2 linked regions of the Xenopus tropicalis genome follow. Each later gene encodes a partner of the first gene's protein in a complex. Links are inferred from orthologs where the notes say so. Each region holds a gene or a part of one and is shown in the gene's direction. Other genes may lie near its edges.

Evidence for each region. The genes of interacting proteins can lie anywhere in the genome.
Region 2: the proteins of dkk1 (region 1) and kremen1 are in contact, whole or in part, in a crystal structure (PDB 5FWW), measured with the Homo sapiens proteins. The link is inferred for Xenopus tropicalis from reciprocal best matches to the Homo sapiens genes DKK1 and KREMEN1. Residues at the interface, in NP_036374.1 of Homo sapiens: Cys189, Leu190, Arg191, Ser192, Ser193, Cys201, Arg203, Trp206, Ser207, Lys208, Lys222, His223, Arg224, Arg225, Lys226, Gly227, His229, Gly230, Leu231, His261; in XP_011528731.1 of Homo sapiens: Pro67, Asn88, Asp90, Asp92, Ser94, Trp96, Gly105, Val106, Tyr107, Trp108, Tyr110, Asp127, His128, Gly129, Pro132, Thr140, Asn142, Glu164, Ser165, Tyr167, Ala168, Phe170, Asn189, Val191, Phe193, His196, Asp203, Gly204.

The regions. Positions count from the first base shown.
Region 1 is NC_030683.2:13,844,833-13,849,046, forward strand, and holds the start of dkk1 (dickkopf-related protein 1 precursor), read left to right. Parts: upstream 1-1,285; 5' UTR 1,286-1,431; coding exon 1,432-1,641; intron 1,642-3,026; coding exon 3,027-3,180; intron 3,181-4,214. UniProt on the Homo sapiens protein: Antagonizes canonical Wnt signaling by inhibiting LRP5/6 interaction with Wnt and by forming a ternary complex with the transmembrane protein KREMEN that promotes internalization of LRP5/6.
Region 2 is NC_030677.2:166,149,056-166,152,664, forward strand, and holds the end of kremen1 (kremen protein 1), read left to right. Parts: intron 1-1,513; coding exon 1,514-1,673; 3' UTR 1,674-3,028; downstream 3,029-3,609. UniProt on the Homo sapiens protein: Receptor for Dickkopf proteins. Cooperates with DKK1/2 to inhibit Wnt/beta-catenin signaling by promoting the endocytosis of Wnt receptors LRP5 and LRP6.

The DNA.
Region 1 (4,214 bases):
CTTGCCCTACTATCACCATATTGCCCTATCACTACCATCTTGTCCTACAGTTATCATCTTGCTCTACTGGCACCATATTGCCCTATTGCTGCCATCTTGCCCCACTACCACCATATTGCCCTATTGCTGCCATCTTGCCATACTACCACCATATTGCCCTATCACTACCATCTTGCCCTTCTACCACCATATTTCCCTATCACTACCATCTTGACCTTCTACCACCATATTTCCCTATCACTACCATCTTGCCCTACTACCACCATATTGCCCTATCACTACCATCTTGTCCTACAGTTATCATCTTGCTCTACTGGCACCATATTGCCCTATTGCTGCCATCTTGCCCCACTACCACAATATTGCCCTATGGCTACCATCTTGCCATACTACCACCATATTGCCCTATGGCTACCATCTTGCCATACTACCACCATATTGCCCTATGGCTACCATCTTGCCCTTCTACCACCATATTGCCCTATGGCTACCATCTTGCCCTTCTACCACCATATTGCCCTATGGCTACCATCTTGCCCTACTACCACCATATTGCCCTATCTCTACCATATATATTGCCTTCTTGTAGGTACCCTGCCCTCAACTCCTACTATACCCTATCTCCTCCTACTGACAACTGCAGCTCAGTGTGGCCCCCAGCAGCGCAACCTATTTGGGCCACCTAAAATGTCAAATTCAATAACCATGTACTGCCAAATATCTGCAGGGAGGGCCCCATGTATTCAGCACCCTACATGGCTACAGACCATTCCTTGGGCAACTTGTTATATACCAGTCCCTTTTGAATAAATCAGGTGAATCAAAGCAGTTTAAAAAGTTCATTTAATCCTAGGGGCCACATTTACCCCCAGTGCCTATAAGGGCCAGCAGTGTAACACAGGACAGGGGATCGATCCCAGTTACACACCCCAGTACCTGTAACCATATAAAATCACGATTACGCCGCTGATGCGATAATAGGATAAAATATGAAGGCTTTCCCTCATTTATCCTTATGGCTTGCGCAATCCCTTCTGCAGGAAGCCCTGTGTGATCTTGCAAAAGAAAAAAAAAAAGAATTAATTGATAATTACAATTATTGTGAAATCCCTGGCTGCCAGTCTGCCCTGTGATTTAAGCTTTGCCGGAGCGTCATAAATCCCAGGGCTTTGAAATCCCAATTCCTTGGCTTTTGTTGTTCTGAGCGGAGGGGCGTGTGCGCAAACAAACCCTGCGCTATAAATACCGCTGCGCCTCGGCGGCTTCTCCAGAACTGAGCACGGAGCGCAGCAGTCACAACCGGCGCTGCACCCAAGCCTTCAGCAGCACCCAAGCACCCTAGCCATCAGCAGCACCCAAGTCTTCAGCAGCACCCAAGGGACTTATCCCCGGAGGACTTATCCTGCCGTTATTGGTTACTGGGACAGAGGAATGGACGAGATGTTCCTGATGCTTCTTTTTGCCTTGGGGGGGTTTATCTTGGATGGGGCACTTGGCTTTGTCATGATGACCAACTCCAACTCCATCAAGAACGTCCCAGCGGCCCCGGCTGGGCAACCCATTGGCTACTACCCTGTCAGTGTCAGTCCGGACTCCTTATATGATATTGCCAACAAATACCAACCTTTGGATGCCTACCCGGTAAGTGGCCATAAAGCGTAAAGTCCGGCGTCAGATGCTTCTTGCCTCTTGGGTTGCAAGGATGGGGGTCCGAAACGTTGGGCTGGAAGGATGGGGGTCATTCTTATTCTTCTCATCAGGGAAATCAACTTTTATTCCTATGGGTATAGATACTGTAGGGCTCTGCATACAGTTTAGATGATGCGCCCGAAACGTTGTCAAATGCGTAATAGTTTGATACATTGTATAGCCTTTCCATTTCGCAATGTTTTTCAGAGCCTCTGGTTGTGTCTAACTGTCTTTACTATATTATCTATCTATATCTATCTATCTATCTATCTATCTATCTATCTATCTATCATCTATCTATCTATCTATCTATCTATCTATCTATCTATCATCTATCTATCTATCTATCTATCTATCTATCTATCCATATCTATCTATCTATCTATCTATCTATCTATCTATCTATCTATCTATCTATCTATCTATCTATCATCTATCTATCTATCTATCTATCTATCTATCTATCTATCTATCATCTATCCATATCTATCTATCTATCTATCATCTATCCATATCTATCTATCTATCTATCTATCTATCTATCTATCTATCTATCTATCTATCTATCTATCTATCTATCTATCTATCTATCTATCTATCTATCTATCTATCATCTATCTATCTATCTATCTATCATCTATCTATCATCTATCTATCATCTATCTATCTATCTCTGTCTATGAAAGAGTATAGTGTTACTGTTCCATCTCTACCTTGTTAAACAACTGTATTGAGCAGTGAGGGTGACAGTCGGAACTGACTGTTAGGAATATAGTTGACAGTTGGTGTTTAACCCTTACATGCTAGCTGGGGTGCAAGCCAGAAGGGGAAGGCTGCTCTAGTGATGCAAGGGCTGTCAGCTCAGCTGATTGGCTCATGTGTAGTGACAGAAAAGCATTCTGTGGTTTTTCCTACAGCATTCTGTCATCTCCTTCTATAATTTTGTGATTGCTCCTGATACTATTCTGTATAATCTTCTCCTTGTGTTTTTCATCTGTCATTGCCCATTATCATTCCATGTTTGCCTAAAATACTCTGTATTGGTTTGTGATTTCCATACTTTCATTCCCCTGTATCATTCTGTGATTGTTTCCCTTTATCATTCTGTCATTCCCCTGTTTTTTTTGGTCACACATTCTGTCATTTTCCTGTATTATTCTGTGATCTCCCCACAGTATACTGTTATTTTTTGAAAGCTTCATTTCCCCCACCTCTCATAGGGCTTTAGTTGCCCTTTATTGCCATATTTTGGATACACACCTGTGTTTGCACTGGAGCAATACATATCCTGATACCCCCCCACCCTAAAGTACCTGTTCCTCTTGTTTCCCCCCCAGCTCTACGGTTGCACAGAAGATGACGACTGTGCCCTGGATGAGTTCTGCCACAGTTCCAGAAATGGCAACTCCCTGGTCTGCTTGGCATGCCGGAAACGCCGCAAGCGCTGCCTGAGGGACGCAATGTGCTGCACCGGCAACTACTGTAGCAACGGTAAGGGGCTTTTGTTACCACTGTCATGGCCTTTGGGGTGGGGGGGGGGGGGGTAGGATGATGGTCTCAATACTTGATTCCGTGATATATTTCTTTCTATGGCACAAGTAATTTTATAGGTTCAAATCCCATCCCAAGGATTTATTTCTCCATTTACAGAACATTAAAATGTTATTCATTGGGACTAAGTAGACTCCGTTGTCCCATAATGACATTTTATAATTTATACTGTGATCCTGTGCCCAAGGGGAAGTTTTGCCTTAGTAGCTTTTTAATGATCACCTAGATGTTTATTGTTACTATAGTAACATAAACTAAAATAAACTTTTCAAAAATGCAAAAAAAAAAATAAGACCAACTGCAAATCTTTTCATGACCGTATGCGATTTGTACGGGTGACAGACACCTTTACTAGCAGTTAAAGGGTAACTAAATGATCCGGAGCAAAGCTCATCTGCCTAATTGTCTGCCACACTGACAACCCCCACATGTCATTAGTCTGTCTTGATGTACTTGCTGCTAAAGTACAAGGTGAAATTCCGACTTTAAGCCACTCCAGCAGCTGTCAAGTTCTGATCAAAGTCTTTTTTTTTTTTCCCTGAGCACAATTAGCCCACGTCATTACATAATGGCATTTGTTTATAAGCGACATGAAAAGAACCGCGAGGTGTACGCCGCCTCCATCTACCCTGACGTTGAAAGTAATGCCTCGCTAATTGACATCAAAAGCCCCCCCCCATTTCACGTCTACATGGCGTTGCCCCCTTAATTGATGACAATGTCAGGCAACATGAGGGTTTTCTCTTAAAACCAGTACAACCCAGAGGTTCCGATTAGCATTACAATCGGTAATGGCCCCCGGCCTGGGCAATTGTAGGTTAGCTTTGCCTGCCCTGCTGAGCATGTAGGTCGCCTATTGTTTGGGCGCTCTATGGGGCTCACTAGGGCATCACTAATTCCCACTGTCTCCTTGTCCTGCATCGTTTAAGGGGCTGCAGGTGATTGCATTATGTGAATAGGTATTGAAAGAGGTT
Region 2 (3,609 bases), on another chromosome or scaffold:
TTACTATGTACCAGCTTTGCCCCCCCATACACAGTGCCCCCAATGGCCAAATAGACAGTACCCCCCATACACAGTGGCCCCATAGACAGTACACCCCATACACAGAGCCCCCATAGACAGTACCCCCCATACACAGTGCCCCCAATGGCCCAATAGACAGTACCCCCTCATACACAGTGGCCCCATAGACAGTACCCCCCATACACAGAGCCCCCATACACAGTGCCCCCATAAAAAGTGCCCCCAATTGCCCCCATAGAAAGTGCCCCATAGACAGTACCCCCCATAGAAAGTGCCCCCATAGACATTACCCACCCATAGAAAGTGCCCCCATAGACAGTACCCCCCATAGAAAGTGTCCCCATAGACAGTACCCCCATAGAAAGTGCCCCCATAGACAGTTACCCCCAGAGAAAGTGCCCCCATATACAGTACCCCCCATAGAAAGTGCCCCCATAGACAGTATCCCGCACAGAAAGTGCCCCAAATTGCCCCCATACACAGTACCCCCCATACACAGTGCCCCCCATACACAGTGGCTTCTTCTTCAGCGGCTCCTCATACGGCGGCAACAGGCCCTTTTATAAGGTTGCGCCCCGTGTGTACGTGTGACGTCAATACGTCACTGCACAAGGAGCCGTATACGGAGAGGAACCGCTGAAGAAGAAGGATTCCAGCCAGCGCCTCCCGTTGCCCCGGATACTTCCATGAATGTCCCGCATTTCTGTAATCTATTACAGAAATGCGGGACATTCATGGAACTATCCGGGACAGCGGGATGCGCTCTAAAAACCGGGACTGTCCCGCGGAAAGCGGGACAGTTGGGGGGTATGAAAATGTGAGTTTAGAATTTAATACATAAAAACTCACCTATGTTCAGTTCATTCCTATGGGATTTTAAGAACTGTATTTATCAATGTGTGAAAGTTAAAGTTCACTATTTGATAAATAAGCTTCTAAAAATCAAATAGGAATGAACAGAACATGGGTGAGTTTTTATGTATTAAATTTTAAGATTATTCAGTCTGCTGTATCTATAAGCAATGTGCTTTGGAATTTTGCGGCATTAATAAAATGTGAGCCCACTGCCTGTGCTACAGTTACTTCGTAGTGATGGGGACCTTTATAAGTGGGCACATTTTAATACTAAGTGCACAAGCTCTGGGCCAATTAGAATGCTGTTTGGCAAGTGCCTGCACCAACCTACCATACCTTAAATGTTTGAGTATATGGTGTAGAGCCTTGTGGGGTAATGTACTATTGCAAAGTAATATTTTATAGTTTGTCTCCTTGTGTGTGACACACACTGTCATTTTTCAACCATTTTGTTGCCCGAATTAATACTTTGCATGAACCCTAAGACAAATGCAGAACCCCAAATTTTCATTATACAAACATGGCGTCTAACCATGTGAGCTGTTATCCTTTCATAGAACTAATACAGAAAAATCTGTAGCTTGGGAAATGCATCTAGAGCCATAATTCTCTTTATTAATACCTGTCTCTTTCCAAGGTCTGCCAGGTTGGCATCGCCATCTAGCCTGGACAGCTGCCACAGAGGATCCGCAGGAGAAATTTGGAGCATATTCTACAAGCCATCCACATCTATTTCTATTTTTCCAAAGAAATTAAAGGGTCAGCATGATGACCGCAACCCTTTGGTAGGAGAATAAGTTCTGCTGGAGGATTTTCAGTATTGCTGGGCTTCCCGGGGGAAACTCCTGCCACATCTGTATTTGGACATCTTTCACAACAGACCATGGACAGCAGATGTCAGCTGCACAGTATCTTCCTGGCATTGTGACTCAAGTTGAGAGAGACGTACCTACTGTCCAAGATGTGCTGTGGCACCTTCATACAAGATCCACAAAGAGTGAGATCGGATAAGCTTGCTGGTGTTGCTGAATTAGGAAACCCCCTATCTAGCCTCTAATTCAGCACATGGACAACATGTGGTTTGTGTTGGGATGGAACCACAGCTTAATGCTGCAAGCGTTACATGCAATCATCCCTGCTCTGTGCAGCGGGGTAGCCCATATTTGACATGACATTGGACTTGCCTTCAGCTCCTACTTTTTATATTGTATTTATGAACTTACAGCTCTTAAAGGAGCAACGGAGGTTGTCTGGTTTTCTCATGATCTACTTCATCAAGAGCTACTGTGATGGAGTTTTGTACTGTGCAAATGTACATATTGTTACACTGAGCAAACAAAAACCACCAGAAATACACACAAATCAAAGCTTCAGCCATCTTTCTATGAGCCAAACTAGAACAGGTTTCCCATCATTCCCAGAGTTTACACTGTCTGATACATTGAATGAATGAATTCTGTACGAGGGACTGAAGGTTCAGGAGGACCTGCATGAAATGGGTCTCGGTGTTTATGGGGCCAGAACATTCAGTAGATCCCTGTATGCGGAATATTTGAGAATTGCATATCTGTATCCATTTAAGATGATTGTGCACATTATCAGGACTCAGAATCCATTCTCATACACAAGCCTTTGTCTTTTTAACTGAATATGTGGAAGCAGATTTTCAGCTTGTTCCATAAAATACGCTTCGATAATATTCTTGTCCAATGTCCTTGGTCATTTATTCTTTCTTTCTTTTGCTGCTGGGTAATAATTATGATCTGAGGAATGATTTGGCAGTGTCAAGAGAACATTGAATACTTGGAACAATCCTGAGACAGAGACAGGCATAGTGCAGAATATCCACATTCCCACCCAAAAGGAGCTTCATTTGCCATAAAAATAACATAATCCAATCCAGTGAAACAAAACAATCCAATCTATGCTGTTTATGTAAAGGTAAAGTAAAAGGGGTTGCTTGTCTTACACTCATTCCTCTCAGTCTGATTAGAAGAAGAGTTGTGTCAGTAGAATGACATATCTGGGCACATTTAGGATAATTGCGCTCATAAACAGGACTCCAAACTCATATTTTAAACACTTATTTGTGTTTTTTTCATGAAAACATGGAAACATTTTTTAGCTTTAACCATAAAATATGCTACGATAATATTCTTGTCCAATGTCCTTGGTCATTTCTTCTCTTTTGCTGCTGGGTAATAATCAGGATCTGAGTAATAATCTACCGGCAATTATCTGTCTAATGAATGTGGTCATTTTATTTTGCCTTGCAGACATTACACATCTCATTGTGTTATATATGTACGGCAAGTGTAATGAACTATAATCAGCATATATTTCAAATGTGCCACGTACAAATATTCTATTTTCATGAAAAACTGGTTAAAGAGGAAGATTCATTATCTAATACATGAATGGGTATTCATGTATTAGATAATTAATTTGACTGTTTAGAAGGGAATTTAATACAAAATGAAATAGAAAGAATATAGGAAGGCCCGTCATTCAGCATATTTAAAGTTTTTTTACCCAATGTTTGCAAATGAGCCCCATACCATCCACAAACACACAGAGCCCCTTGATCACATTTAGTAAAGATTTCTATGGACTCATGAGTAACTTTTTTGATGATTTATCATTCTAAATTACAAATTTGATCAAACTAGAATGACCCTGATCAATCAGGAAAGCATTTCTGACACTTTTAGTTGCTTGAAAACATGGCACCAA